Linked DNA regions of Lonchura striata. The protein of the gene in region 1 purifies or fractionates together with the protein of each later gene. This does not show direct contact. Links are inferred from orthologs where the notes say so. Each region holds a gene or a part of one and is shown on either strand. Other genes may lie near its edges. The genes, in order: SPAST, NUP85, NUP107 and NUP43.

Region 1 (7,324 bases):
GTGACTTCAATCCTCTTTTGAGACTTTTCTTTAAGCTTCTTCTCTCCACCACCCACAGAAACAGTTTCAACTGCAGTGTAAATCATAAATCTAATACTGATTATAGCTAAATAAAATCTTGATTTGAGATGATTCCAGCCACCTCTGCTAACAAAGCCTGAATGGCTTTATTATTCTTAGGGGCAGATGCAAACATTACAAGGTCATCATTAAAATTTCACTTCCAGCTTTTAACTGGAGAAAGCTTTCACAGCACAATACCACATCAAGCTGTTTGCAAAGGTTGTGCTCCACTGCCACACAGAATGATTGACTAGTTCTCAATGATTATGACATTAAAAATAAAATAAATGTCACATTCCTTGGAAGTTGCTGATTTGCTATATTGGCTCTGGCAGAATGGAGCTGATTTTCCTTAAACAGCCCCAATGGCACTGTGTTTTGGATTTGTGACTAAAACAGCTGATAACACAGAAATGTTTTGGGTGTTGCTGAACAGCACAACCTCAAGGTTTTCTTTTTCCCATCTAGATCCCCAGTGAGTTGGCTGAGGGTGCACAGGAAGTTGGGAGAGAATACTAGCAGGATGACTGACCCAAACAGGCCAACAGAATATTCTGCATCATACAATATAATGCTCATCAATAAAAACCTCGGTAGATGAATAACTGAATGAGGGCTGTCTTCCAAGGCAATCATCACTTGGAAAGATTTCTCACCCTTTTTCCCCTTCACTTTTGCTCCTCCTATGCTCTCCCCTGTCCCACTGAGAAGAATAATCCACTGTGTGGATGCTTAACTGTTTGCAGGTGTCAACACACCATATGTGCCTTCTTAGAAAAAAATATTAAGCATTAAACTGTAAAAATGCCAAAACAAGAATAACTGCCCTAATTCAGAAGCATAAAAAATTACCAGAAGTGCTATCAAAATTACTGAAGTATGCATAGCTCCCACAACAGCAAAAATGCCACATAACTAATAGGTTATTAGACAATTCAGAAATTCCACCAATTTCACATACTGTGTCTAACATATAGTTTTGTCTTTGAAGATATAAAAAGCTTGCTTACAGATCAAAACTTTTTCAAAGATAAGACAAGTATTCTGGTAAAATCAGATAAGCAAATAACAAATCTATATATCAAATAACAAATCTATGAGTTCTTTCTCAATGGGATGTATATTGCAGTTGCAGGACTGTTACAGTTTTGTAACTGCTCATATAAGCAGCAAAGATCATCTTACTAAATGCATGGCCTGTGCAGCTAATTCATGTATGATCACTCTAAAGATACCTACAGAGCAAGTTAATTATTAAAATTCATATTTAAGGGCTTACCCACCAAACCACGTACAGTTAAACATCACAGCAGTGGAACAGGTGCCTGATAAGGTAAGACTTTGCTACTCCTCACAGAGCAATCATCAACAACACTGAAGCCTCACCTTCTTTCATGCTTTGCTCCTATGACCCTCAGTGCTCTCTCGCTGTACACCTGTGCTGAACTAACCCTGCTGCACATGGTGCGCAGTTTTTTCTCTCCCAGAGCACATACCACTGCCACTCCCAAACTGTCAAGGCAAAGGAGGACACATCCCATGCTTTTCTGGCGCTCTCAGTGTGCAGCACCTATTGAAGACCTACTCCTATATTTTTAATCTCCTCTTCTAGGATAGCAGTTCTAGTAAAGCTCAACTGAAAGTTTAGAATAAAGTAATCTGACTTTTCCAGAGAATTTTAAACACCAGCACAGCAGGTCTCCAAGGCCTACCTTCTGCATGCTGACAGAATCATGCTGCTGCATTTAGAATAAATGATTAAATTTAATTTAGTATCAAGTGTTTTGTTTGGTTGGGGTTTATATTATGCTCTACAAAAAAAAAAAAATCCTCACTCCTCTGTTTTATTTCATTGAATCCTAAACGTTCTCCTTAAGGTCTTCTCACCACACAGTGGTAGGTTTTTAGGTTTTTTAAGAGTATTCATGGCAAACTTAAAGTTTAAGAAAAACATGTTTTAAGAAACTGCCAAAATACTTAAAGTAAGTATTTATTTCCTTAAAATCACACCACTCCAAGTGGGCATTCTGAGGGCTAAGTAACCTGAAGCCTCGCTCGAGGACTCACATCATTTGTCAGGCAGTGCATTATAGGATGCATCTTTATTATTGTCCTTGGTGCTTTTGTTGTCCGGCTAGCTTGGTGGAGGCTAGTTACAGTCACACACCCGCCCGCAATTTTAACCGCCTCACCCAGACCCCCGCGGCAAAAATTATGTTTTTGGGGAGAAATACAAGCACTTGTATTGCAAGGGGAATGAGGCCGCGCCGCAGCTTTGTGATCCGACCCGCGCCTGCGGGCTGCGGCAAGGACCAAAGCACCGCCACTGCATGCGGACACGGCACGGCTCACGGCCGCACAGCCCGTCCGCAGCTCCCCGCATTTCTTTCGCCAGCGGGTTTTGTTTGCTCTTAGCTGAAAGCGGTTCCACGGCACAGGGCCCTCCCGGCCTCCCCCCGCACCCCGGGGCGGCCGCGGGCGCTCCCTCCCTACCTGTCTCGTCCTCGTCGATGCGCAGAGCCATGGAGATGCACTCGAAGGCCCGCTTGTGGCACGCCCGCACCGTCTCGGGCGCCCCGCCGGGCTCGGGCGCGTCGCCGGCCCCGGCCCTGCTGCCCTTGGCGGCCATGAGCGCGCCGCGGGAGAGGCGCTCGCAGAGCCAGGCGAAGAGCAGCCCGAGCTGGAAGGCGACGAAGCGGAGCAGGGCGAAGGCGGCGAAGAGCGGGTACGAGAAATAGTACAGGTTCCGCTTGTGCAGGGACGCCGCCGCCGCCGCCCCTGCCGGCGGCACGGGGGGCGCCGGCCTGGGCGGCGAGGAGGGAGAGGCGCCGGCGGTCGGAGGCGCGGAACTGGAGCCGGCTGAGCCCTTCTTCTTCCCTCGGCCGCCCGGAGAATTCATTCACCGCCGTCGCCATAACCCGCTGCCAGAGACTGACAACAACCGGCCATGGCGATGGTGGCGGCGGCGACGCCCCTTTCGGCCGACCCAGGGGGAGGGACGGAGGGCGGGGCGCGGCCGGCCCCGGCCGGGGCGGGGAGAGGCGAGGCGAAGCGGCACCGCCCCGCCACCAGCGGAGGGGAGGGCACGGCGCTTGCAGCGCCCAGCCCGCCCCGCTCCCGCGGAACGAGGGGCGGGTTCTCGGAGGCGCTCGGGATCACAGAATCAATGAAAGACCTGTGAGATCATCCAGTCTAGCCTTTGACGGATGTAAAACTGGACCACAGCACTAAGTACAGCATCCGGACGGGTCTTGAGCGTGATCAGGGACGGTGACTGCACCTCCTCGGACAGTCCATTCCCTTGTTAAACAACCCTTTCTGTGAAGAAATTCCTCCTAGTGTCCAACCTGGACCACCGCTGGCACAGCCTGAGGAGACGTCCCCTTGTCCTTTCGCTGGTTGCCCGGGAGAAGCCAGCCTGCCGCCTGGCTGCAGCCTCCTTTCGGGGAGCTCCAGAGTGGAAGCACCAGCCCGCTCCAGCCCTAGCCGAGGCCGTTCGCTGTCGGCCCGTGAGACGCACCGAGCGGACGGGCGATGAATAATTGAATAGGATCAGTTATTGTGACTGGTTGTGAGCCACGCCACAGGCACAATCCTGGCGCCGCTCCCGCCTGGGATCACTGCTAGTGGCACACAGGCAGACCCCGGGGAACTCCCTTGCACGGAGAGGCGTGGAGCAGCCAGTTCTCCACGGCGTCCCCCCGGGAGTGTGCGCCGGGGCTTTGTCTGCTCCACAGCTCTGTAATGGGAATGACAGGCTGGCTGCTCACATGCAGGGGGCTAATGGAATTCACTATACATTATAGATACATCACTCTGGAAGGAAAAAAAAAAAAAAAATCTTCACTCTACTTACCAAAAGTGAACTTGCAGTTGTCCAAACCCTTGTCAATTATTTGCCCAGCCATAATATTTATTTGTGTTTCACCAAAGAGATAGATCCTCCACCTCACTATGCCTTTGGTTATTTCAAACTTAAGAATGCTTTGGTACCTTTAGTCTATATTGTATATGCAGGTGAACCCAATGGGAAGAAACGACGATGTCTGACTCAATTCAGAAGTCTGAACTATTTCTTTATTATAACTATGCCAAAATACATTAATATACTATATAAAAGGAGGATACTAAAACTGTATACTACTTTCTTTGACTTTAACTCTCACACAACGTGTGACCCTCTCTCTCTCGTGCGAGTCCAGACACAGGTGGATTGGATTGGCCATCAGGCTCAAGCAATCCTCACCAGAATCCAATCAAGCACTCACTCCAGGTAAACAATTCTCCAAACACATTCTACATGGGAAAAACAAGGAGCAAAAATAGAAATTGTTTCCTCTTTCATTTCTCTCTGTGCACCTCTATGAAAAATCCTGAGAGGGAGAGATATGTGCTTGCCACAAGTCTAGTCCCTCTCTGCTTCAACCTTCCCACCTTTGTGTGTGCGTTGCCTGTTGACTAATCTTTTTCGCCGTTGTTTTGCTTTGTCAAACACTCTGTTCCACAAATAAAATACTGAATGATATTAGATATGACAGATCATCTCTCTGGCAGCCCTGAACTGCACACAGGAGCTGAGACAGTCCCAAAACTGCAGACAGAAAATTCAGTGCACAGTCAAGTCTCCCCTAGCTAATAGCATGAAATGGCAGTTGGTGGAGCATGTTAATTAAAAGTATATGCCAAACTAAAATCACTACTGTCTGCAATATTTTATTCATTCTTCCAAAATTACTATGAAACTACTGGGTTTTTTTCTTGTTTGTTTATGCCTCATAAAGTTACCTCCAGATTCCCCTGGTAACGTGTATTTATTTTCTTAAATGGCAGAGTGGAGTGGTTTTTTTACTGTATAAAATACAGAATTTTATCAAATATAAAATAACATACAAATATATAACAATTATTCATGACCTAGACCATTGTTAGATAGATGGTGAACCTATCAGTTCTGAAAAAATGCAGCAATGTACACCAAGTACTTTTCTTTTGTGTTTTGTAAGGATTATGTACTTCTACTATGAAAATACTATCAAGTATGTTCCACCCACTCATGAGTGGAAATTTTTTTTTTGTATATGTAACTGTCCTTTAAAAAAATCTCTCACTTACTGATATAAAGGTTTAATAGATTTTTATAATACCAAAGAAATTCCAGAAGCTTCAAGCAGTGTTAACACTAAGAAGCATTCAAAAATGTGAAATAAGCCTGTAACAACAGATTATCAATCTATAGTGTTTATTATTCCACTGCTATCTAAAGTAGCATCCCATTCCTGAGCAAAACAGAAAAGCCAGAGAAGGAATAAGTTTATTAACAAGGACATATTGAATGACAATAGAAGACAATGCATCTCAATCAATCCTGACTAGTCAGATTATTCAGTTATTTTTACTTTTTAAAACATTTAGAATGACACCTTTGTGAATTATGTGACAGTATCATGACAATAAGAGTACACTTTTTAGGGGCATAACAACACTTTAAGCCAAAACACAGCTTCAAAAGCAGGAATCAGTGTGAAATTGTGAGAAAGTCTTAATGCTTTTAAGGAAAACCTACAGAACTAGTTCTGTATTGTGGCTATTAAATACTTCAGTGCTCTGCAAGTTTAATTTCCCTACCTTCTTCTGTCACTACAGGACACCTGAAAGCACGACACCAGCCGCTGCTATTGCAAAGGTGAAAAAGAGGAAGTTTATTTTCTGACTCTAGCATTTATATTTTTTTAAAGGTGACAGTGGATTGGAGGGTGAATGTACCACCTCTCCAATGACATTGGATAAACTATTAGTACATTAAGTTTCTCCACTTCTATGGAGGAATGCAAAACAATAGATTGTTTACAGAAAGTTGTGTGAGAAAGTTCTCTACAATAATGTAAACTCAGAAGGCTTTAGAAAAATCTTAAAAATCGGAACAACACTCTTCTATTAATATCACTCTAGCAGTCATTGGACTTGTCAGTGAACCATTCTAATTAATAATCTGGTAAAGATTAATGCTACTTTGAAAAAAAACCAAAAAAAACCAAACAACCAAAAAAAACCCCAAAAACCACAAACCCTTAAACCACATCAGAGCAGTGGGTGGCTTTCTGCTGGTTAGTGAGATATCCTGACTCAGCAAAGGTTATGATGAACACCAGCAAGAGGTGGAAGAAGTGAAGCCTCCTCTGGAGTGGGATAGTGTTCACTCTACTCTAAAGATTGAGGACTTGTGAAATAGAAGAGATACAATCTGGTGTCTCAGCAAAAGATTTAGTAATCTGAGCAGACCAACGTTACAGTCATAGGAATTAGAAAGGTACAACTACCCTGACACTACAATTTACCATTGTACCAAAAGGTAATTAGGAAAACGTTTTTTCTTTCCCAACATGACCTCTAAATACAATTCTCTAAAATGTCATGACTAGAACACAATGAAAAATTCAGAGAGGCTCAAAACTGACTGCAAAGCTTATACCTCTTCACATTAAGAATTTGTTTGTATTCCTTTTCTAAGTTTTAGTAAAGAAATCTCAGTGTTTTCACCTCACCTCTTTGGCATCAGGTAAGTCTGCCAGCACTAGGCACTAAAATATATATAAACACAGGACACAGTTCTGCTCTAATTCCAAGTTCTTCAGTTGAGTATCAAATCTGTGACTGCACTAGATTTTGAGCCTGCTTATGACACTGGTAACATTGTCAGTTCTGCAAACATTGTTTCAAATTCATTTATGTACACACACTTCATTATTAACACTACTAGATGATTATGTCAGAGCAGAATCTATTGAAAACATGGCAATTTATGTTACTTCTCCATTTCACTAATCTTTTAGGAGCATCAACTAGATCATTCCTATGCATCGTCATCACTGCAACAGGAAGACAGGAAAAGAAGTAGACCTATTTTTGTCTATTTGTTTATTTTCTAAAAAAACCTCAAACAAATGAATAAAAAAAGCCCAAATCAAACCAGAACATCCCAAAACTCCAAACCTACAGAAACGAAACATCTTTGTCAGTTTGAACCCAAAATATTTTTAAGGTATTTTAATTCTCTAGCACAAATCACACTTCCAGACAAAGAATTCACATAATCATTAGGGTTGGAAGGGACTTCTGGAGATCATCTAGCCTAGCCCCCTGGCCAAGGCAGGGTTATCAAAAGCGGGTGACACAGGAATGCACCCAGGCAGGTTTTGAATCAGGTAGTCTCCTCTAGAGAAGATTTCAGAACCTCATCAAGAAGTTCTTGCTAAAATTTAAT
Region 2 (6,989 bases), on another chromosome or scaffold:
TCCAGGAGGCGCAGCAGGAGGGGCCCAGCTGTGCAGGCAGATTTCCCTCTGTCAGTTCCCACCTCTTTGTTCCCAAACTGCTCTCGCACATTTTATAACAGTTTGACATCACTAGATGAGATTTACTGACTGGATTTCTACCTGCCACCCCCAAATTACAGAGCTCCTTATGCAAAGAGGCCCTGGGAGCACCCAGCCTCTGACAGGTTTTCCTGTGGCAACACGGTCCAGTAGAAAACCCACACTTGAAGAAATAAAAAATGAGTGATCCAGATCATAAATCTTGCAATGCCAAGAGACAAACAGAATATTTCTATTTATTTTAGCATAATTATTACTAACTGAATAGGTGGAAGAAATTTGGTACTAGGTGACCAATTTAGCTTAAGTAATCTATAATTTGCAAGTCTCTGCTGAATTCTGGGACTGTGTAAGTAGCACATTTATTTGCATAATATGATTTCCTTCAAAAATTATTTCCTACTTTAAAAGACCAATGTAAACAGACTGACTTCAAAAATGGCAACCTAAAGTTAAAGGAGTTATATCAGAGCTGTGTAAATGTCAACTGGCATCGACACATTTGATGTTTAAAGACATGTTTAAGCTTATAAATAAAATAGATTGGCAACAACTTTTGATATCCCTCTGCTTCATAACCTTTCTGACAAAGAAACAATTTAAATCAGAGCGAGGAAGAAAAGTAGAAGGAAAATTGAATAGCTTGGTATAATTCAGTATAAAGAAGGCAGTTAACTGAGGCAGAAGGGATATTAAAAGGCTTACTGACACTGCATACCTCTAAAACATTAAACTATGACACAGGGAATATAATACACATTTTAAACAAAGAAATATGCAAAGAAGAAACCCATCAGTCTTTACACCAGCATAGTTCACAGCTCACCTGTAGCTGATTCAACAAACAGAATCTCACAAAGGTTCCAGATCAGCTCCATTGCGGAGAGAATGGAAACCTGAAGGAAAGCAGGGCCAAGTTTCAGAAACAGTCATTCCACCTGGGTTTTTTAACCACACAAAGGCATCTGCTGTCCACAGAAATCAGTTCTTACAGAGAAACATCATACTGACATTGCAGAGATAAAAATTAAAAGACACAGGCCACAATTTCACACTCTTTGGTCAGAGAACACTGACACTGTGTAATGAAATGCAACAATAATCTGTCACCAGTGAGCAATATAACTGGTCTTATTTTCAGCCTTTTAAGATTCAATACAAACATCAAAGGCAGAAAGAACAGCCAATGAAGCAACACCACTGCAGCTGATAGGACAGAGCTGGTGTGAGCACTCTGCTCCTCCCAGAACGCTCTGGTGGATCTGACAGCTCACCCTCAACACCCAGAGGTTGCTGTGAGGCTCAGATGCTGCTGATTGGAATCTGAGAGTTTGAGAGGTGAAACACCACACAGCAAGTCTGAAACTTTTCTTGTCAGCTTTGGGATCACAAGAAAACATCACATCTAGAACAGAAAATATGTTTACAACATTGCAGTGAATTGAGGTGTTTGGCATCTTTATTGTTTCAGAAGCACAGGAATTAACTATTTATTTCAATTTATTCTTGGTCATGAACTGCATCTCATATACAAGACAGAGTTAAATCTGAAGTGCCTCGTGCCACAGAGGTGGCCTGGTGAATTCACCAGGCAGTAATCCACGTTCAACCTGACAGGACTGCAGATTACCTGAGTGCTGTACTGGCCTTGCAGGGCAGGGTCCTGGGTCGAAACTGAAGGAAAAGCAAATAAAGTCAAAGAGCAACATATTTACATTTGCCAGCTGCTTCTGAGCTTTGATAGCTTTCCATATATCTGCCACATGAGATACGAAAAGGCTGCAAGTCCCCAGAAAATCAGTTACAATATGGTGGGAAAAAACCAGTCCATGACCAGATTCACAAACCAACGTGGAAATATCCCACATGGAAATAGAATCTTGCCAATTACTGAAACCTATACATGTTATTGTACAGCACTTGCAGTAAGTTACTATTACAATCCTACTTTTGTAATTGCAACTGGTGTTTCCTTTTCTTGCAGGAAGAGAACAAACAAACTTACCAGCTGCCTGGTGCATGTCCTCCATGCAGGCTCTTATCACTGACCGGTAGTTTTTACTCACTTGAACCAATCTGCCAAACACAAAAAGACTTTGATTGGAGGGAGCTGTTGGAGTTTTAGTGTTATGCCCCCTATAACTGCAAGTTTCTCTGCAGCAACAACTCCCATTACCTGGGTGGATCCAGCTGGAATCAATGAAACTGTACCACATTCTACTAGCATGGTTATTGGAAGGATCCGATCCTTGATTTATAAAATATCCCCAAAATAGTCATTCTATCTGCCTCGCTGCTGATTCCAGAGCTGGTGAAAGCAGCCTGGCCAATGGCACTTGCCCCACCTGAGGCGTTCGTCAGCCCTTGGCGCTGGCCCCGGCTGGAGAAGGGGCAGCGGCTGCCTCCTTCGCATCTCCCCATCCACTCACTGCGCCTTCCGCGACTTCCCCGCCAGCTCCTCCTCGCTCCGCTGCAGCCCCATGAAAATCCCGTGCGACTCGTTGAAGAGTTTCCGCAGGGTCTGGATGTAAATGTCCTGGTCCCTGCGGACCACGAAGACGCAGGAGGAGCTCGGTGCTCCATCCCCGGTACCTGCAACAGAGCCCGTCAGCGCCCGGCAGCAGCGCCCGCCCTGCCCTCACCCAGAACCGCGATGGGCACGGGGAGCGGAGCCCACCTGCGCGGCCGAAGAGCGTCTCGCACACCAGCACCTCCGCGGGGCCCCAGGCGAAGCAGAGCTGCCGGGCCGAGGGGTCCGCGCCCGGCACCACCTGCGGGGGGACGGTGTCCGTCAGCGGCGCCCCGTTCAGCCCCGCAGCCCCCGGCCCCGCAGCCCCCGGCCCCGCAGCCCCCGGCCCGGCCCATCCCGCACCACCAGCGGCGGCTCCGCGTCCGGCTCGTCCATGGCGGCGGCCGCGCTGCTGCCGTTCCCGCCCGCCGGGCCGCTGCCGTTCCCGCCCGCCGGGCCGCCGAGGCCCCCCGGGCTGCCCGCGCCGCCGCCTGCGTGCCGCGAGCCCCCGCCGGGCCGGGGGCCGCTGTGCCGGGGGAGCCGCCCGGGCGCCGCCGGGACGGGAGGGAGCGCGGGTCCCGCGGCCCGGGACAGGCACCGGCGCTGCCCCCGGAAGCGCCGCCCGTGCGCGAGGCCCCGCCAGGCGGACGGACCCGCCCCGCCACCGCCCGGGCCGCCGGGCCTGAGCGCCGGGGCTGCGCCGAGCGGGCTGTGGGGATGGGGTGGGCTGGGGTGGATGCCAGCCCCTCACGGTGTTCCTCATTTTCTTGCCAGGACAGATTCAATGCTGGCTGGGAGCACTGCTGGCCCCAGGTGTGCCGTGCAGTGATGTCGTTGGTCAGTCAGCGTTCACAGATTCACCGAATAGGTTAAGTTGGAAGGACCACAAACTCGGGTCCAAACTGCCTGCTGCAGCAGGCTCATCTCAGAGTGCATGGCAGTGCGCTGTGTCCAGACAGTTCTGGAATATCTCCAGTGAGGGAGACTGCGCATCCTGCCTGATCTCTGTCCAAGTGCACAGTCACTGTCAGTGTTTTCACGCTTCATTGTGTAACAACCCATGTCTCCTATTTCCTCATACATGTCAAACACGTGCAGGTTGAGAAGCCTCTGGGATGTTGAAGGTGATGCTCTCTGGAGCTCTTGGGCATTGATAAAGCTGACTAATCAAATTATGTGCTCTGACTTCAGAGAGTTGCCTGCAGGTTCGGGAAGGACATGTAATGAAGCAGGATCAAAGCAGGAAGAACTGCCACTGTGCTTCACTCACTCACTCACTCCCTGCCTCAGGGTCCAGGAGGAGGTGGAATATCCCCTGGACACTGGGCAGAGGTGCCTTCTGAGGCTGCTGGAGGCTCATCACCTTTCTGTTAACACTGGGAGCTCACCTACCATGGCATTCAACTCAATGCCATGGTGTGATAAAACACTCACAGCACCCTGCTCCTCTCCTTCCATTCTGCTCTCCTCCCTGCTTCTGTGAACTCCTCACTTTTTGCCTGTGCTAGCCAATAAGCAAGTTCTTCAGCAATATACTTTTTAAGACAAGTATTAGCAGTGCAGCTTTGTTGGTCTCACAGCTGGAACCAGTCCCTCTTAGGCTGGTGCCTTCCCAGAATGCTCACTAAAAAGAAACTTTTCAAGATAATGTAAATAATTTGCTGTCCTGTATGACAAATAGTGCAACACTCCATGGCTAAATTGCCCTTTTTTACTTATCAACTGCTGCATCCATCATTTCCAATAAAAATAAGGCCAGCAGTTATCTCTGGGAAGAGCATGTCATGTAACCAGTCATGCTGAGAAAAGAAAGTGGTGTCTCTTCAGGTCAGAACGAATAAATTTTTGCAGGTAGAACAAATTAAACATTCCAAAAGCTGCTTGAGAGACTGAAGACTCATCAGTTTTAAACCTGTCGTTGTTTATCATGGGTAAGGGTCTCTGTTTTGTTATTTGAGGATGTGCCTGTATTTTAATCTGCTGTACAAAGTCAAATTCACCTTATTGTCTTACACAATGGTGCTGCTCTGTGCTGCAGACTTCTGAGGATGTTTGTGGGCATTCCTAGATCCAGAATACCATTCCACACATCACTAAAAGGCTCTATATGCAATTCAAAACCGGATGTCTAAAAACCCAGGGGTACGAGGCCTCCTGCCACTGTTCCTCAAGGCTAAGGTGCTGCTTTTATAACTGCAGCAGATTCTTGTGAGTGGCAGAATATATTTAGAACATCCATGTAATACTGTGTAGAGATCCACCGTGTGGGAGGTTGATCTAGGAGTGGGACAGTGTCCTCTGCTGCTCCCAGGTCCATCTGTGGGAAGAGACACTGAAAGCTGGAACTCTTTGATCTTCTCCTGCTGTCTCTTGGCACACAGCGTCCACTTTGCTCTCTCCCTAAAAGTGTCAGTGGCTTTTCATATCCGCAGCATCTGTTGTTCATAAATGGATGGTTCCTGTGGAAATCATCTTGGAAAAGGTGAGTTTTGGTATGAAATCTTGACAATTTTTGGTCCTCTTGAACACTGGCTGGAGCTCTGCACATACCTAGAAAGGAAACCTTCCTGCTCGAGGCTTCTGTGCCTCTCAGTCCATATAATTGAGTAGAGTTGGGAATTTCCATGTCAGCATGGAATTTCACATTGCTCAGAAAGGCTTTGGAGTATGGGCTGTGGGTCCAGCAAGGGAAGCAAAGAGAAATTGTGTGGTTTACAGTCAGGAGAAAAAGAGAGAAAAAAAGATCTGATTAGGACAGGAGTTACTACCTTGTGAAATAGGAGGTTTGGAAGCTATTTGGGGAACAGAGGGAATGATCAGCATCATGAACAGGGAAGGCACAGCACAGGCAGGGCTATAGGCAAAAGGTATTTTCTATTCCCAGGGTTAAGCCAGAATTAATGAAGAACAAAGCCTGAGGAAAGCACTCAGACCTGCAGAGTCTGAGCTGGTAACCCAACGCACTCATTCACACCAAATTACTGAGTGCTTTTTGTTATTGCATTGGACTCAGTACAAAGTAACACTCAGTTTTGAAGGGGCTGGAGTTGGTTTTATAGGCTAATGTTTGCTGATGTGCAGGAGCATGCACCTTCTACCTGTAGCTGCTTTGGTATCAAAAAACTTAATATTTTAAAATCCCAGCATGAAGAACATGTATATGGAATGCCCATGTTCCCTGCCCTCTTCATCAGAGGGGGGAGAATTAAACCAAAGAGCTCTGCAAAATCTAGATTTATTCCTTATAAAACTGCAGTACAAGAGTGAAACAAAGTATGGAAATACTTTAAGAAAAAAACACGTGGAATTTTTTTCTCCCAAAGATGGAATTTCTCAGGAATTTTCACTGTGATGCTTCTCCATTCACTTCCCTTCAGCTTGGTGCATTGAAGAGGAGGAGCTCAGAGGGACAAAAACCTTTGCTTTGCTCCCCTCTGCTGCAGCCCGGACCCTGCAGGAGTGGAGCTTTTGTAGTTCCCAGTGTGGCTTCTCCCCCCGCTGCTTTCTCCCAGTGCTGCTGTCTGGCCTGTTCCTTTGCAGGTTTTAGTACTGATCATTGTCAGCTCCAGTTTCTCAGAGTTTCCTCTGTTGCTATGTAAAAAGAAAAGCCACACAGAGATGAGGTTTGTATAAACCTGCTCTGTGATTTGGGATCTGTTTGATTGGTGGTGAGACCAGTGCTGGTGCATCTGAAGCTGTTTTCAGCCTTTCTGAGCACATCTAACTCCCATATGTTCTGATAAATCCTAGAGTATTTTCCTGTCTTTTTTAGCACATTTGTTCTATTTGTGATGCTGCCTTAACGTGTGTCTCACTTGGTGTCATTTCTGCCTTCAGTTCTTTCATGCCACGCTCAGGCCTTGGCCAGCTTCATCCCACCTCCCCAAAAATCCTCCTCCTGGGCCTGCAGCACAGGGATCTTCAAGGAGGGAGGGGGAAGAAGTGAAAAGAACAAAATACAACAGGACCATCAAACCCCTTGAGCCCTTCCTCACACATCTCTGTGATGTTGCATCATCTCTAAAAATAGAACTTAAGTCCATTGGGAATCACAACTCATCTTTTGCTCTGTGAAGTACCCCTTGGGTTGGGAGTTTTGCTTTAAAAAGCCATGGATGAGATAGATAGAAGGGTGGGCATTAAGATGCTTTGTTTCCTTGTTCTCACTAGTAGAGTGACAACTTCTTAGTAGTAATGATCAATTTGAGAATGACCAAACCAAGTTGCCCATTGCTTTTCAGAGCTGGAATGAAAGGAGAAAGAAGACTACAGGAGCCTGAGGCATCACACATGAAGTGGGATTTGGGCAGAAGTGCATGGTCTTCCCCAGCCAGGGTGCTTCTCACCTCCCAGTACCTTAAACAAATAAAAAAATAATAGCATGAGTAATTAAACACAG
Region 3 (7,613 bases), on another chromosome or scaffold:
GAAACACTGAACTTTCTTATGTTTCACAGGGAAAAAAGAGAAAAACATGCTCTAACCATCTTACCATTGACAGATTGCCAAAAAGTCCAGGAGTTGGTAGAATGAGAGGAGACTTCCCTCCTGTTCCCAGGATGGCAGACATATCTGATGGCTTCATGGAGCTGCGATGTAATGCAGTACCTGAAAGAGAAAGAGGCTTTTCTGAAAAGAAAAAGTATTTCAAGCTGCTCAACTCCACCCAGAAATTCAAAAATAAATTTCTAACAGGGACTGAAGTGCTTATGAAGTGCAGACAGAAACCTGAAAGCAGGTTGTATATATACACCAAATAGGCAACATACCTTCAGTTACCAGAGTTCATTGTAAACACACATGAGCATAAAGAGCAGTATATATCCACTCATTCTTTCTTGGAAATTGGTCTCCAAACCCTTAAAGCATAAGGCAGCCCAAAGGTCTGTCAACTAGAAAAGATTTCTTAGGACCTTGTCCAGCTTTATTTATCTCCAAGGAGAGAGACTCCATAGACTATCTGGGCAACCAGTTCTAGCATTCAACTCTTAGAGTAAAAAAAGGGGTGTTTTTAAATGTTTAAACAGAATTCCTTGTATATGCTGTTGTGCCTATTGCCTCTTGACTTTTCAGGGCACCACGAAAAACTTGGCTATTTTTTTACTCCCTCCCATCCAATATTTATATCTATTTACAAGATCCCCCAACCTGTTCCTCAGGATAAACAATCCCAGCTCTTTTCAAGTCTCTCCTCATATGCCAGGTACTCAACCCACTTACCAACTTTGTGGGCCTTCACTGGATTGCAGCACATCCATGTCATTCTTATGGATTGCTATTAATTAATTATTAAGTACAAGCACATAAAAATCTTTAACTAAATAGTAAGCAGACAAGCAGGCAGTCTTACCTGGCTGGTGAAGTAATGAATTAGGAGTTCGGGAAAGACACTGGCTTTTAGGCGTCATGTTTCCAATAGTGTCATCCAGGGATGTAAGAACTAATTAGTAAACAAGTTAAGAAACACTCTCCTAAACACACTTTTGTATTTATTCTAAATGAATGTGGTAACTTGGAAAGGAAAAATAGTTTGTCATAACTCAAATGGTATGAAAATTACACATCTTCCAGAGTAAACCAGAAAAGTTTTATAAAATGTTTCATCAGAACCTTAAGAGCTGGGGGGTTAAAAGGGACACCACAAAGTGAAGTTCAGAAATATGGACAACACAGGTCTGGGACTACTCACAGCAGCTCAGATCAAAGAGAGCCCTTCTGCTTCATGAGGAGCTGCTGCATGCTACATCAACCACAACAAAAAGATCTGAGTCTGAATGCATGTTTTAGAATGTTCCCTCTCTCAGTTGCAGGTGCTCCATTGCTCTACTTTTCTTCTTCCTGTCAGCAACCAGGTTTAGTGCCCTAGGCATGATTTACTAAGAAGCAGTTGTATAAAAGTTTCAGTAGCTTCTGCTAGTAGCATTCAGAAGTATCTTGATTCTTAGGCACAATATAATCAGGACAAGTATCTCAGAAGCTTTATTTAGATGCAAAACCCAGAAGAACAAACAAATTTATTGGATTCCTTTGCTATCATAACCATGAAAAAACCATTATCTTAGCTGTCAAACTACCTCGTGGTGGTGGTGGTGGTGGTGGGGTCCTTATAGTAAAAAAGCAAGGGGGGAGATTTCTATGGAAGTTTAAATCTGTATCTGTGCACTACTCTTGCTATGACAGTAGATGGAAAGTTAAGATACAGTAGATCATCATAGGACTCGGATACTACAATACCTGCAAATAAACATAAAATCATAAAATTAAGATATAATGAAGGAAACGTATTTTTCTTTTCCAAAAGCTCAGGAATTGAGTCATGTAGTTCTCATATAGTTCTCACAACCACTTGAATTCATACACCCAGGAAAATCAAAGCAGTATCAAAAATATACACACCTGGTGAACACAGCAATTAAAGACAAAAATTCTTTACAGAAAAAGGATACTAGAAACTCTTTTCTGAGAGCCTTGCTTCCGTCCAGGTCTGACCACTTCAGGATCATGGGGGGATGACATGTCTTCAAAACCATTTCTACAGAACAGCAACACAGAGAGAAAACAAGCCAGTGAATTCAAGCAGGACATCCAAGATCTTACTGTCATGCCGACATAACTGCACAACCAGGAAACTTAAAGCGTTAAGTCATCTCCAATCTTACTACTTATGTCCAGCTTCCTCTGCAGAAATCTAGCACTGCTTATTAGCTCAGGGAAACAAGGTTGCGTGAAAACCCAGACTTTGTTCCTCCTACAACATAAGGGAGGGAAGGGCGAGCGGGAAAGAGGGAAGGGAAGAACAACACAAGGAAATTCCAATTTTGAACTGAAAAATGAAACAGAAAGAATGGCATGACTTCACTACATGACTTTTCCCTCCGGATAACGCAGTCTCCACAGGCTGGGAACGCTCACGTGTCCTGCCGAAGGGAAACCCCCATTCCCAGTCACTCGGAGCAGCGGAGCCCGCCCGGTGGGCTGTGCTGTGCGGGCACGCCTCAGCAGGCCTGGCAAAGGCTCGGCCCCGCGACCCCCGAGCAGCTCACGGCTCCCGCTTAACCAAGAAGCAACAGTCAGACTTAAAGGTCTCGGCCGACAAAACCCCTCCGGTGCGTTCCGGAGCCGCTGCAGGCCCGCTGCGTTTCGCAGCCCGCACTGCGCACAGCCGCTCCAGCCGGCGCGGCCCCGGCTCAGCCGGCCCTCGCCTGTCCACGGCCCCGGCTCAGCCGGCCCTCGCCTGTCCACGGCCCGGCTCAGCCGGCCCTCGCCTGTCCACGGCCCCGGCTCAGCCGGCCCTCGCCTGTCCACGGCCCGGGCTCAGCCGGCCCTCGCCTGTCCACGGCCCGGCTCAGCCGGCCCTCGCCTGTCCACGGCCCGGGCTCAGCCGGCCCTCACCTGTCCATGGCCCGGCTCCGCTTCCCGCCAGCGCCGGCCCGCGGCCCGGAAGGACACGGGCTCCTTCCGCCCGCCCCGCCCACGCGCCCGCCCGGCCCGGCGGGGCCGCGCTGGGTAACGGGCGGGAGCGGCGGGGCGGCCGCAGCCTGCTCTCCTCTCTCAACCCGTGCTGAGGGTCAGAGGTTGAAAAAACCCCGTAGTGTAAAAGTGCCAGGCGCTGTTGGGGTTATCTCGCCCTCGGGCGCGCGAGGTGTTTGATACGTTCGGCTGGAGCAGGGACGAGTTTTTCACACAGCTGCAAACGCACGTCTGTTTCTTCCCCGTTTCTCCCAGTGTCACTCAGTCTACTGGCACCAACATTAAAGGGTAAAGCAAGCACCGCGCGGGATCACTCAACCCTTCAAGGCTGGACAAATTTAACAGAATTATGAAATTGCCTCTCCCTTTCCTTCCCTAAATGAATTCAACCTACTTTCTACCTACAGAAAAACATTGTTACTACCATATAAGCACAAATAACGGTGGTGCAGTTCGTTTAGTTGCGCTCTAGGACAAGGAAAAGTGTCCAAAATGAATCTTTTCATGTAGACAGGCAAGTTCTGAAAAACACTTGCAAGTGCTTGGGTATTTTTAGGGCTACAGCTACAAAGGGGTACTTGAAGCAAATTAGACAGGAGGATACATCTGACAACGGCTGCAAAAGGCACTAGAAGTGCAAGACGTGGTCTGAAGTCCTCCAGCTTGCTTGAGCTACTGATAAAATACCACGACGCCCAAGCATAAGGTTTCACTGAAGCTGCCAGAGAGCCTAACTTCAGAACGCTTCACAAGAAGAAAACTGATCAAGACTGGGTATGCAGAAACACAAGCAAGCAGACCTATGGAGAGTAGATTAGTCACTCGGGAAATGTACTTTTGGATTAAAAACACCCCCCAAAAAAACAACCACCAAAAACTAACCAAACAAACAAACAAAAAAAAGTTGCCCTTCTTTGTTGAAAACTATCAAGAAAGCACAAGCAAAGGCAACAACCTTCATGATGACATCAAACTAAGTGTTTAAGGAATTATTACATCCTAGTTCAGTACTATGAATTTAATGGAATTTACGTCTCAATATATCCTACTGTAACAGGGTAGCATTATAGTCTCTAGTGCAGTGGGAAATTCAGAGTAAAGCACAAATCAGTATCTGGTTCAATCGTTTGCTAACAGCTCACACCCTCAGGCTAGCCCTGCCTCAGGGCAGAGAGTAAACAAGTGAGAAATGTAATGATGACAGAGCAGATGCTTCCTTTGTGTGCCGTCTCAAGTTTATTCAAAGCACTGATAGATGAGAACATAGCAAAGGAAATAAGTCTGAAGATAAATTAAGAGGTCAGGATGCATACTTTAAGAAAAAAAACCCAACCCAACAAACCTGTAAAAGTGTATGAACGTTTGGGGCCTTTGAGAGGACTTGTCTTAGAAGGTACAGCCTCTCTTAAGTGCAGACTGGGAAAACACCTTAGAGGCTCCAGTAAGGGGGCAATGCAGGGGGAACTGGATAAAAACCTGGAGGTGTATTTCAGTACTTTTTGACTGGCATCCCACTTCATATTTAGCTACCAAGACGGAAAAAGGAGGAAAAAATGAAGCAAAAAATAACTGAAAATCTCATTAAAGCATCTTATACTTCCAAGAAGCAAAAGAGAATGCATTTTTTTCAGGACTCTAAATTCAAATTTATAATTAAAATTCTTACATCTGACCTGAAGTTTCACATATTTGGATCAGATACACTGATCTCAACTCCAGTTGTTACCATAATATCAGGGGAGATAGCAATGTTCCTTACTTACAGGCAGGACACGCAAAGATGACCCTGCAGCTAGAACAACTAACACCAAAACCAGGTATATTTATTGCCAATGCCTAAGGTTTCTCTGCTTCCTAGTACCTTTCTGCAAAGTTAACAGAGCATACAGGATGTACTAGGTTAATTTTGATCTAGTATATTCTGAACTTTAAACAAGTAAACTAACTCAAAACTCCAATTACCCTTTACAAAATACACTTTAAGACTGCTCATAAATTAAATAAATTTTCTTAATGCCCTGCTAAGCTGCATATATACAATCTGCATATCCAAAATCGTGAATTACCAAAAGCAAGAGCTCAACAAAATTCAAGTGCAATGTGTGACAGCAGCACAACTTCACTCAATACAAAGAAAACTGAAAACTACACTATACCTTGCCTTTATGTAAGAGAAACAAAAAAGTACATGTTTTAGCCCATCTTTTCTTAGCTGAAACCCATTCCTGGAAGTATTTTTCCTGGAAGTAAATTTTAATTTTTTCATTTAAATACATGGAAACTTTTTAAAAACCAATCTCAAGAATTTAAGTAAAGCGTTCATGTATTGCTTAGTATTTAAATACATATTGACTCTCAAAATGTTTGCTCAGGTTCTTACCAAACAAATTGATTCTCATGCTCTTTCTATTGAGGCAACTTAGCTAAAAACATTTTTTTATTAAACAGGAAAAAGAAAGAGACAAATTTGTAGCTCATTTTATTTGTGTCTGAAAATCATGACAGTACTGCCAAGGGTCTTTGTTGCTATTGGGTGCATTACAAGCAGTAAACCCAGCTGATGAGAGCTAGGATTTCATACGTAGAGGATTTTTTTTGTATGCAGTATGGGAGTGAAGATACCAAGTCCTCCCTACTAGATTTGGAAGGTTAAAATGCCATATAGTATGAAAAGTTAAAGTATACCAACAAAAGAAGGAACTGTAACATCCACTAGGATTTCACTCAGTATTCAAGACTACAGAAATGGCCCACGCCTCCAAGTTCATGGTAAGCAAAAGACATTACATGAATTAATTAGAAATTACAATGATTCTCAGGTGAAGTTCACCCCAGTCACAACTTCAAAGAAAAAAAATCCTGGTAGTAGTAAACTTTCTTAAAACAATGAAGCTGTAGCACTTGTTGTTTGGCAGAACTAGGATCTCTTGAGACAGGAGTACAGTGGAAGTGCAAAGATATTCTCTTCTCCATTCACAAATCTCTCGCTAAAGAACAACTGTTTGAAAACATGAAGTCACTCTCTGCTTTATGACTCAAACTTCTGAAAATAAATGGTTTTGGAGGTTATTTAAAACAAACAAACAACCCCCCCAAAAACCCTAAACACAGAAAACACAGCAAAATCCACATTTATATGTTGTTTGAAGCCCAGATATTGAAATACTGTGAACAAAATCAAGACTACAAAACAACTTTGCTTGTCTTTCAGTTCAAGACTCAGAATGTAAAGTTTTCCACAAATATAAGTATAATTCCAGACACTTTATAAAATGGAAAATATAGATGAGGTTTTAAAAATCTTCAAGCTGCTAAATAAGCTTTTGGGAAAAAAAAAAGCTTAACATGCTTGAGATTCAGAAAACCTAACTTAATAACTCTGGTACTAATGCTACCTTAGAAAACAACTTGCAACTGCATTTTGTTATATACTTAATCAACTTTTTATTTGTCTTTATCCTCCTCCCCACACACAGGCAAAATAAATGCAATAAATTGAAATGTAGCCTAATGCTGTTGGGACAGCAGTATAAAATTGAACAAAAAGTTTTTTGTCTACCCTTGGCTGCATAATCAGATTACAATTGAAAAAGTGCTACATAGCTGTACATAGACTACTTCTGACCATTCACATCCAGTATAACTTTCTACTGCTGATACGCCTGTCTAGAGCTGGTACAGTATTGTGGCCAAATGACTTCCCAGCTAAGCTATTTTCAAAACTGGCTAAGATTAGAAAACTTGGAAAAAAAATTCATGACGTTTAATTCATCCAGTTTGTTGACACCATTTTAAAAGCAGAAAAATTCTCATCTTTACTGTTGACCCATAAGAAAACAGCAATTTTACTTTGTAATTGTAATTATTACTTTGTAATTGTAATCCCAATTTCAAACTCCTGCCAGCTTTCATTTCTACTATCACAGAATCAATACATCTTATGAAAAACCTAGTATCTAACTCCACAATACTTTTTTAGAATTTAAGTCTCTTATGTAGGAGAACAGTAGTAGTTTGAGCTTACACTTATTTGGACATCTGAAAACATCTTGCAGTCTCAAAATAGTCTTCTAAGTTGGGCAAGTAACATTCATTTCACAGACTAATTTGAGGATGAAAAAGGGCACTAGGATAAGGTAAGATATAAGAGAAATTTATATTGCAAGGCAAGAGTCCTAATATGATGAGTGCAATTCATATTTCTTGTATTTCAGTATTTCTGGACACAAATAATACTTTTCCCATAGAAGGCTCAGACTTTAAATACTGACATTTATCAGCTTCAGATTAGAGAGGAAATAAAGCATTGTGCACGGTAAGCATAAGATAACTTTACAAGCAGTTACACGTGTATTTAACACTGAATTTGCAAAAATGCCTGCATTAGTTCTCAAAATGTTAGTTATACATGTTTTAATCTAAAGCTTTAGGAGAAGTTTCTGTACAGGCAATTCAAGTGTGAACTTCTTAAGCATTGGTACATAATGGAATTATCTTGAAGATATGTAAAAGTTTGTTCAAAAATCTCAGCAGACAGGATTCTTTTCTACAATTGGTAACTGCTTACATAG
Region 4 (7,073 bases), about 25 Mb from region 1:
ACTATTTTCTTGTATTTTATTTCTGTTACTATATATAAACCTTTCATCTTGATTATGATGGGGTAACTTTGTTAAGTCTACTTTCACCTCAAGTATTTTAAAATTCTTTGTTTAAGCCCATATGGAAAATATAGGCAAATTATTATCTTTCTGCATAAGATGGAAATATTTTCTGATACTGGGAAAAAAATTACAATGATGCCTGGTTACAGATATTGGAATGACTCTTCTGCCTATTGTTTAAATGAAAGCAGAGGGGAAGAAAAAACTCACTAAAACATCATTAAAAAGAAATGTTGGATTACTGAATACCGAGGTTCTAGAGGATTTAAAGTTTTATGACAGACTAAGTGGTTTAGCAATGATACATCTTTACTGCTCCAAAATATTTTTACATAAACCTCTAACTTTATAGATGTTTTTTTCCCTACCTTAACTGACTACAAACCTATGCACTTTGTACTGTACTCTTAAACAAACAATAACAAAACAATAACACTAAACACTAACAGAAATTCCAAGGTATTCCTTTGCAACTATTGAATGAGGTACAAGAGTTCTATCTTCAAGTTACGGATTCAGCTTAGTGCCTGGGAAATGTCAAGGTGTTATTGAAGTGGGAACCAGCAAAACAGATTGCTTACACCACAGAACTCCATTCTGAAGAACCTGAGAGCATCTTCTAAGATGTTCTCTCTCTTACCTCTCCAACTTTTATTGTAAAACCATGAATTTAAAAATACCTAGATGAATATAGAAATACATCTGAAATATGCTTCAAGTATTTGAATTCTGGAGGGATACAGGAATAATCTGGAACAAACATGTTCAACCTGGAATACTGAAATCAATATTCAACTTATTTTTTATTTTGTTATAATAAGCTGAAAACCAAACCCCCTCCAAACTAGACTAATTTAAAAACCCTGGTATTTCACACACCTATAGTTCTTACTGCATCTTTTTGGTCCGCCCTGAAGAGATTTATTCTACCATCTTCTCCAACAGTGACAATTTCTGGGTTGTTGCAGACAACTCCTGTACAGGCTGCTCCACCACAAGCTGTGTCTTGATCCACATGATAATGGGCTTTCTCCCACCGGTGGTCAGCAGATAATGTCTAAGTATTAACCACACATGAAATTATGGTATTAAATAATGAACCCAATAGAACAAATCTTCCAGAATACTCATATAACCAGAAACAAGCTCCAGGAAAGCCACAGTATTTCATGGGAATGAGAGCCTCCTATATAAATACAAATCAAGAGATCCAAATTTTCATCTTAAACACGCAACGCTTTTATTAAATGTTAATTATTTCTTCTCTGAACCACTGTGTTCACATGATCTAGCAATTAGAAATAACACTATGGACTGTAAAATGTCTTTCACTAGGCTGATGTCTTCAATATTTCCCATGACAGGGGAAAAGAACTGATGCCCTTAGAAAATAAAAGGTCAGATTCAGATCTTGATTGCAAGGAAGTTGGTTTATTTTAGGTACCACACCAAATTATTAACTGACATCCACCTTTACTGTGTTATTTGAACATATATAAAAATGTAATTATGCATTTATTTTCAGTGATTTATAACCAAAGCAAAAGGCTACAGAGTTTACATATCTTTCTTCACATGACACTCATAAGAATTAATTCATAATTTGTTAGAATTGAAAAAGAAGTAATTTATTTCAAGAATTCAAAAACTCTGATAAGGCAGGTAGAAGTCCATTAATATCTACTGCCCCAAAACCCTCTAATGTCTCAAACGATGCTTTCAATGAATGGGCGTTTGGTTACAGATACAGATAAGGAGATACCCCAGTCTGTCTCACTCTGGAATCTAGTTTATGTGCATATGTGTAAAACACTATTTTGTTTCCTCGTATGTGTCAAGTCAAAGCTTTTTTAACACGCTTTTAAAAGAAATTCATTTTGGTAGCCAGATTATTTTTATGCTAAGATCAAAGTAACCTGTATTACAGGGAATAGCATTTTAAAGCCAGTGCATGTCACATACCTGGTTATTTTGATGATGACGGAATACAGTTACAGTTCCTGTTGATGAGGCAACCACGATTCTCTCTTGATCCAAAAACTAGAGAGAGAAAACAATAATACTATTAGCCAACTTTGATTTTAGAGTAATCAAAATTATTGGTAGGTGGAGGGGGAAAAAACCAAACGCACGAAAAACACAGCAATATTGATTGGCATTGTCCTTTTTCTTTGTCAAAATTTTCTGGCCAATCTCAGCATTTTGACAGTTCACTTTCACTCAACTTCTCCTAAGTGACAAGCCCTTAAAAACTACGGAACTACTCAACACAGGTATTTTACCTGCATATCCATAACATCGCCGTTGTGCTGGATGTCACACAGCAAATGAGGTTCTCCATGATATTCACCGTTGAGGCCCGCATTTCCAAGGTCGCCAGCAGACCAAATGGAGATCCTGTTGTCCTGAACGGAAACGATACCACATGTACTCGAAAACGCTTTTGAAAGTACCGAGCAATAATCCTCAGCCAGGGAAAGCAATAGGCTGCGGGCTGCGCGCCGCTCCTGAGGAAGCCGCCGCCGGCCGGAGGGAAGCGCTTGCCCCGGGGGATAACGCTGCCGGGGCGGCCCCACAGCTCCCTTGGGGACGCGAGCACGGCACGGTCAAGCGGAGCGCGGGATTGCCGAGCCAGGCGGTGCTCCCGGCCGGCTCCGGCCCCGCTCCCGCACCAGGCGGCGGAGGGCAAGGAACCGAGGCGGCGTGGGGCGCCGCCGCCACCCGCCCCGCGCCCGGCGGGGAGGTGGCGCCGCGCCCTCGGGCCCGCCCGGGCGGTACCTCGTTGTCCCAGGAGCCGGTGGCGAAGAGGTCGGGGGGCTGGAGCGCGGCGGCGGGCAGGGGCCGCCAGCGCGTCCGGCTGATCTTCTGCGACACGAACTTGGCGCTCACGTCCTCCATGGCCGCGCCCGCCCCGCGCCCGCTCCCGCCCGCCCCGCGCCACGCGCGCTGATTGGCTGCGGCGCGACGGCGAGCGCGGAGGGACAGGCGGGGGCGCGCTCGGGCCGTGCCGGGAGCGGCGCGGGGGCGGCCCGGCGCCTGCTGCCCGCGGTAACGGGGCTGGGGCGGCGCTGCGCTCTGCCTGACCCTGAGCAGCTGCACCGGCGCCTATCGGCTCGGTGTCGGTAGAGGGTCGGGTTCGGAGAGGAGGAAACAGAGGATGACGCGACCGTGCCGTTGTGTTACCTGTCTGCTCGGCTGGGCCGCGTCCGCCGGAGCGTTGTGTCCGTATGTCACCTGTGCCTTACATGCACCGACTCCTGTTTTCTCAACATGAGCGACGTACACAACGACTAAGCATTTCTGGTTTAAGATCTGCTTTTAAGTATGTCCTGCTTTCAGCTGAGTTAATTTTCTTCCGAGTAGCAGCCAGAGCGCTATGTATCCGATTTAATGTGAGAATAATGGTGACATCACACTGATGTGTTGCTGCTGAGCGGCGCTTACCGCAAATCAAGTTCTTTTCAGTCCTCGCTCTGCCGGTGAGCACTTGGACGAGAAGCCAGGAGGGAGCATGGCCAGGACAGCTGACCCGCGCTGGTGAGAGGGATATTCCATACCATAGAATATCACATGCACTGATTAAACTGGGGAACATTGGCCAGGAGGGACCAATTACTGCCTAGGGACAGGCTGTTTATCTTTTTTGATTTGAATTATTAGAGTTATTAAGAGATAAGTTGTTATTATTATCTCAACCCATGTTTTTTTTTTACATTGGTTTTATTCCAATTGTCCTCCCCATACTCCCTGGGGTGGGCTGGGGTGGTTTGTGGGGCTTATGTGACCAAATATTTGCCTGGTACTTGCTGGCTGGGGTTAAACCATGATACTGTACTTCTGAGTGATACTGTCATTGCTTTGACAGATTCCTACCTGTACAGAAATAAACAGAATATTTTTTTGTCGTAGATGCTATGTTAAATCAAAGAGGAGCACACATGTACTTTCTTTCTAGTATTTCACTTGAGAACTAAATAACTATGCAATAAAAAGTTCAGAGGTTAGTTGTAAAATTAAAGGCTGACACAATTGTGTAGTTAGTTGTCATTTCAGAGGATGAGACTATTGATCCAGTCACTGCAGTCCAGTAAGGGACTTTCTCACACAGATTTTTACAGCTTTGTTTTCTGCTGCATTTTTTTCCAAAGCTGATGCTGCCCAGTCTCAGAGGTTCTGTCAGATGGACATAACAGTGGCTTAGACAAATTTTCCATTGTGCTATTGCAGTTTTCCTGCTAAAGGCATCTATACAGATTTATTCTATACAGCACTTTTGAGTTCCTCATTAAGTCTGCTATACTGTTTTGTAATCCCTGAGGTGTGATACCAAACCACTGATATTTTATGTGCTTCATGCATCTTTTGAACTTCATTTAACTTTTTCTTCCATAATTACATTCAGCAGAATCCAACACTGAACATATGCCAAAAGCTGGATTCTCTAGGAGTCTACCATACTGCAAACATACCTTAAAAAATAATTGTTGCACATGGCAGCAGCATTGCTGTTCTACAGTAGCAAATGCTTCTGGCACCCTTATTAAGCTGCTCACAGCAGTTCTGCAAGTCACTCTTGACTCCAAGGGTATTATCAGCTAATTTTTATAACACGAAAAACATCAATAGGCAGCCTCAGAGTATAGCTACAGACCAGACAACTAAAAGCTGAATAGAAAACACTTTGGAATTATTAAAAAGTCTTATTAGGCAAATATTTTTTTTTTTGTTAGTTTGTGATTTCTCTGTGTGTTATTTTACCTTGTGCTTTTGGATGATATCTTTCTTTGCTCAGGATTGCTTGTTCAGAAGCATTTGGGAAGTAGTAAGGGAAGTTAGTTGGACATAAAGGCTTATTTTCACATAGAGGAAAAGAAGATTCACAGTTTTTCTTCCCTGTCCTACATTTTTTAAAGAAAATGTTGGCAGCATTTTATATGATGAAAGTGAGAGCTCTGACAGATTTAGGTCTGCTTTGTAAACCTTTAAATACTCTGTGCTTGATCCCTCTGAAAGATGTGTACTGTGTTAGTATATCATTTCAGTGTAATGGCAGATTTAAATAAACATATAAAAGGTGCAAATAAGCACCAAGAGAAAATACGCCTCATCTAGTATTTCTGTAGTTTTCAAGAAAGATGTTAAATCTAGGTTAAGATGACTCTAAGCCTTTGGTCCAAGCATGCCAGCTAAGACAACAAGGTGCATCTCTGGATTACCCTTCAATATGGCTAAAGCTGGGAGTGTGAGTGAAAGGGAAGAAAACCGAAAGCATGCCTGTCTCAGAGAACGTAGGGGGCCTGAGGACAAAGGCACCTACTAGATCAGTGATTGTACTAGGGCAGGATAAAGCTAATTCTGAACTAGATTTGCATATAATCTGCTTTTCTCCAATCATCATTGAACAATATTGAAAGAAAGTTTCTTGGAGATGCCAAAACAATGTTGACAGCTGCTAAGAGGTCCTGGAGCTGTGCCCAGTTTATTCTCTTGAAGGTGTACAGTTACACTGCAGTGTACTGCAGAGCAGATGTAACAGCAGAGGGACCAGCCCTGAGTGCAGTCATAAGCCTTGCCCGTGGCTGGGGCTCCCATCTGGGCTGGGATACCCTGCTCTTGGCCTGAGCTGTGCTGTAGGAGGGCCTGTGCTCAGCCATGTTGCCCAAACTTGGTGGCTAGCTTGACTTGGGGCCTGACTTGTCACTTCACTTGAAGGCAAAACCATTTCTGTCCCCAGCCCTGCTCTGCTTGCCTTGCTTAGATGCTGTGGGATGGTCTATCATCTGGAAGGTCTCATCTGGAAGGCTGACCTTCCTTCATGAAGGGGTACCAGTTCTGCTGCTCCTTAATGGGGAAAGTCACTGATGTTACTGAGTCCTTCTCACCTCATCTCTGAGTGCAGAGCTGGTAAAACATGGATGTGGAGTTCAAAATAATGTAAACTTCTGAAATGGTAATACAAAAGGAAGGTACACACCAAACTGGCTTGAGCTTATAGGAAAAGAAATGAGATGAAGGAGAGTGATTAAGTTAAAAAACAGAATGGAGGCAAGAAGAGGAGGGAGTGTAGGTGTAAAAGCCAATTAGCGTAGGGTTTGGGACATAACTGCGGAAATGTACAGTAGGAACATTTCACAAGGAAATTTCTGCTTGTGGTATGCAGAAGCAGATGGGAGCAGACAGTGATGAGCAATTTTCAAATTCTTTCTAAATTCAAAGAATTTAAAAAAATCTAATGGGCCTATGAGGTGGGAGGGAAGGAATCAAACAGAAATAGTAGTTTGAAGGGGTTTATATATAAATGTATGGAAGTACAGCTAGAGAGGATTGGGATGTGGGTGAATGTGCAGCAAAGGAAGACGAGATGATGTGCTTACACTTAGTGGGATCTTCATGTCAGAACAATTGTATGGTGGCATTCTGGCTGCTGGCATTCCGGCTGCTGGCATTCCTGTGCCTTTTCTCTAAGAGGACTGTCCACGCATCAGCTTCCTGGAGAGTCTAGGGAAATGGCTCTGCATGTGGAAAATGGAGGTGCCTGCAGTTGACAGTGAGCATCCAGGGACCAAGGTGCTCACATGAGTTGGAGCAGGATACAGAAATCCTGAGTATCAGAGCAAATGGATAGGTTTCACATAAATGGTGATGGCCAGAAAACAATTTTTTGTATTATTATTTCTGCTCATATTTTACACTAGTAAAAAATGTTGCCTTTAGTTTAGTCTCGTTGAATGTGCTCCTAATAGGTTTTTTAAATGTACACATGGCCTGGGATTATGGAACTGAAAGAGTTAGGGACACCTTCACTTGTTTACTGCACAAATGGGTGCATCCTGCCACTGTTGGTGCATGTTAGTTTCCCAGGACCCTTTGAGGCAACTTGGCTTGTCTTAGAGCTCCTGGAAGCCTGCCAAGCCAATGCTGTTTCCTTCACACATGCCTGATATCCGTCCAAGACACCCCAGATATTGTTAAGGAAGGCCCACACTTAGTTTCATTCTCTGAATGTCAAG

Evidence for each region.
Region 2: the proteins of SPAST (region 1) and NUP85 purify together in Homo sapiens (affinity purification with mass spectrometry; 3 studies listed by BioGRID and IntAct, counting the BioPlex papers as one, with this or other methods). This does not show direct contact. The link is inferred for Lonchura striata from reciprocal best matches to the Homo sapiens genes SPAST and NUP85.
Region 3: the proteins of SPAST (region 1) and NUP107 purify together in Homo sapiens (affinity purification with mass spectrometry; 3 studies listed by BioGRID and IntAct, counting the BioPlex papers as one, with this or other methods). This does not show direct contact. The link is inferred for Lonchura striata from reciprocal best matches to the Homo sapiens genes SPAST and NUP107.
Region 4: the proteins of SPAST (region 1) and NUP43 purify together in Homo sapiens (affinity purification with mass spectrometry; 3 studies listed by BioGRID and IntAct, counting the BioPlex papers as one, with this or other methods). This does not show direct contact. The link is inferred for Lonchura striata from reciprocal best matches to the Homo sapiens genes SPAST and NUP43.

What each region holds. Positions count from the first base shown.
Region 1 is NC_134605.1:32,864,967-32,872,290, reverse strand, and holds the start of SPAST (spastin), read right to left. Parts: upstream 3,018-7,324; 5' UTR 2,963-3,017; coding exon 2,557-2,962; intron 1-2,556. UniProt on the Homo sapiens protein: ATP-dependent microtubule severing protein that specifically recognizes and cuts microtubules that are polyglutamylated.
Region 2 is NC_134621.1:5,353,822-5,360,810, forward strand, and holds the start of NUP85 (nuclear pore complex protein Nup85), read right to left. Parts: upstream 3,022-6,989; 5' UTR 2,987-3,021; coding exon 2,954-2,986; intron 2,853-2,953; coding exon 2,759-2,852; intron 2,674-2,758; coding exon 2,511-2,673; intron 2,158-2,510; coding exon 2,087-2,157; intron 1,756-2,086; coding exon 1,712-1,755; intron 978-1,711; coding exon 908-977; intron 29-907; coding exon 1-28. UniProt on the Homo sapiens protein: Essential component of the nuclear pore complex (NPC) that seems to be required for NPC assembly and maintenance. As part of the NPC Nup107-160 subcomplex plays a role in RNA export and in tethering NUP96/Nup98 and NUP153 to the nucleus.
Region 3 is NC_134607.1:44,371,455-44,379,067, reverse strand, and holds the start of NUP107 (nuclear pore complex protein Nup107), read right to left. Parts: upstream 3,017-7,613; 5' UTR 2,973-3,016; coding exon 2,965-2,972; intron 2,105-2,964; coding exon 2,019-2,104; intron 1,013-2,018; coding exon 923-1,012; intron 181-922; coding exon 65-180; intron 1-64. UniProt on the Homo sapiens protein: Plays a role in the nuclear pore complex (NPC) assembly and/or maintenance. Required for the assembly of peripheral proteins into the NPC. May anchor NUP62 to the NPC. Involved in nephrogenesis.
Region 4 is NC_134605.1:57,519,585-57,526,657, reverse strand, and holds the start of NUP43 (nucleoporin Nup43), read right to left. Parts: upstream 3,002-7,073; 5' UTR 2,962-3,001; coding exon 2,842-2,961; intron 2,469-2,841; coding exon 2,346-2,468; intron 2,104-2,345; coding exon 2,026-2,103; intron 1,121-2,025; coding exon 943-1,120; intron 1-942. UniProt on the Homo sapiens protein: Component of the Nup107-160 subcomplex of the nuclear pore complex (NPC). The Nup107-160 subcomplex is required for the assembly of a functional NPC.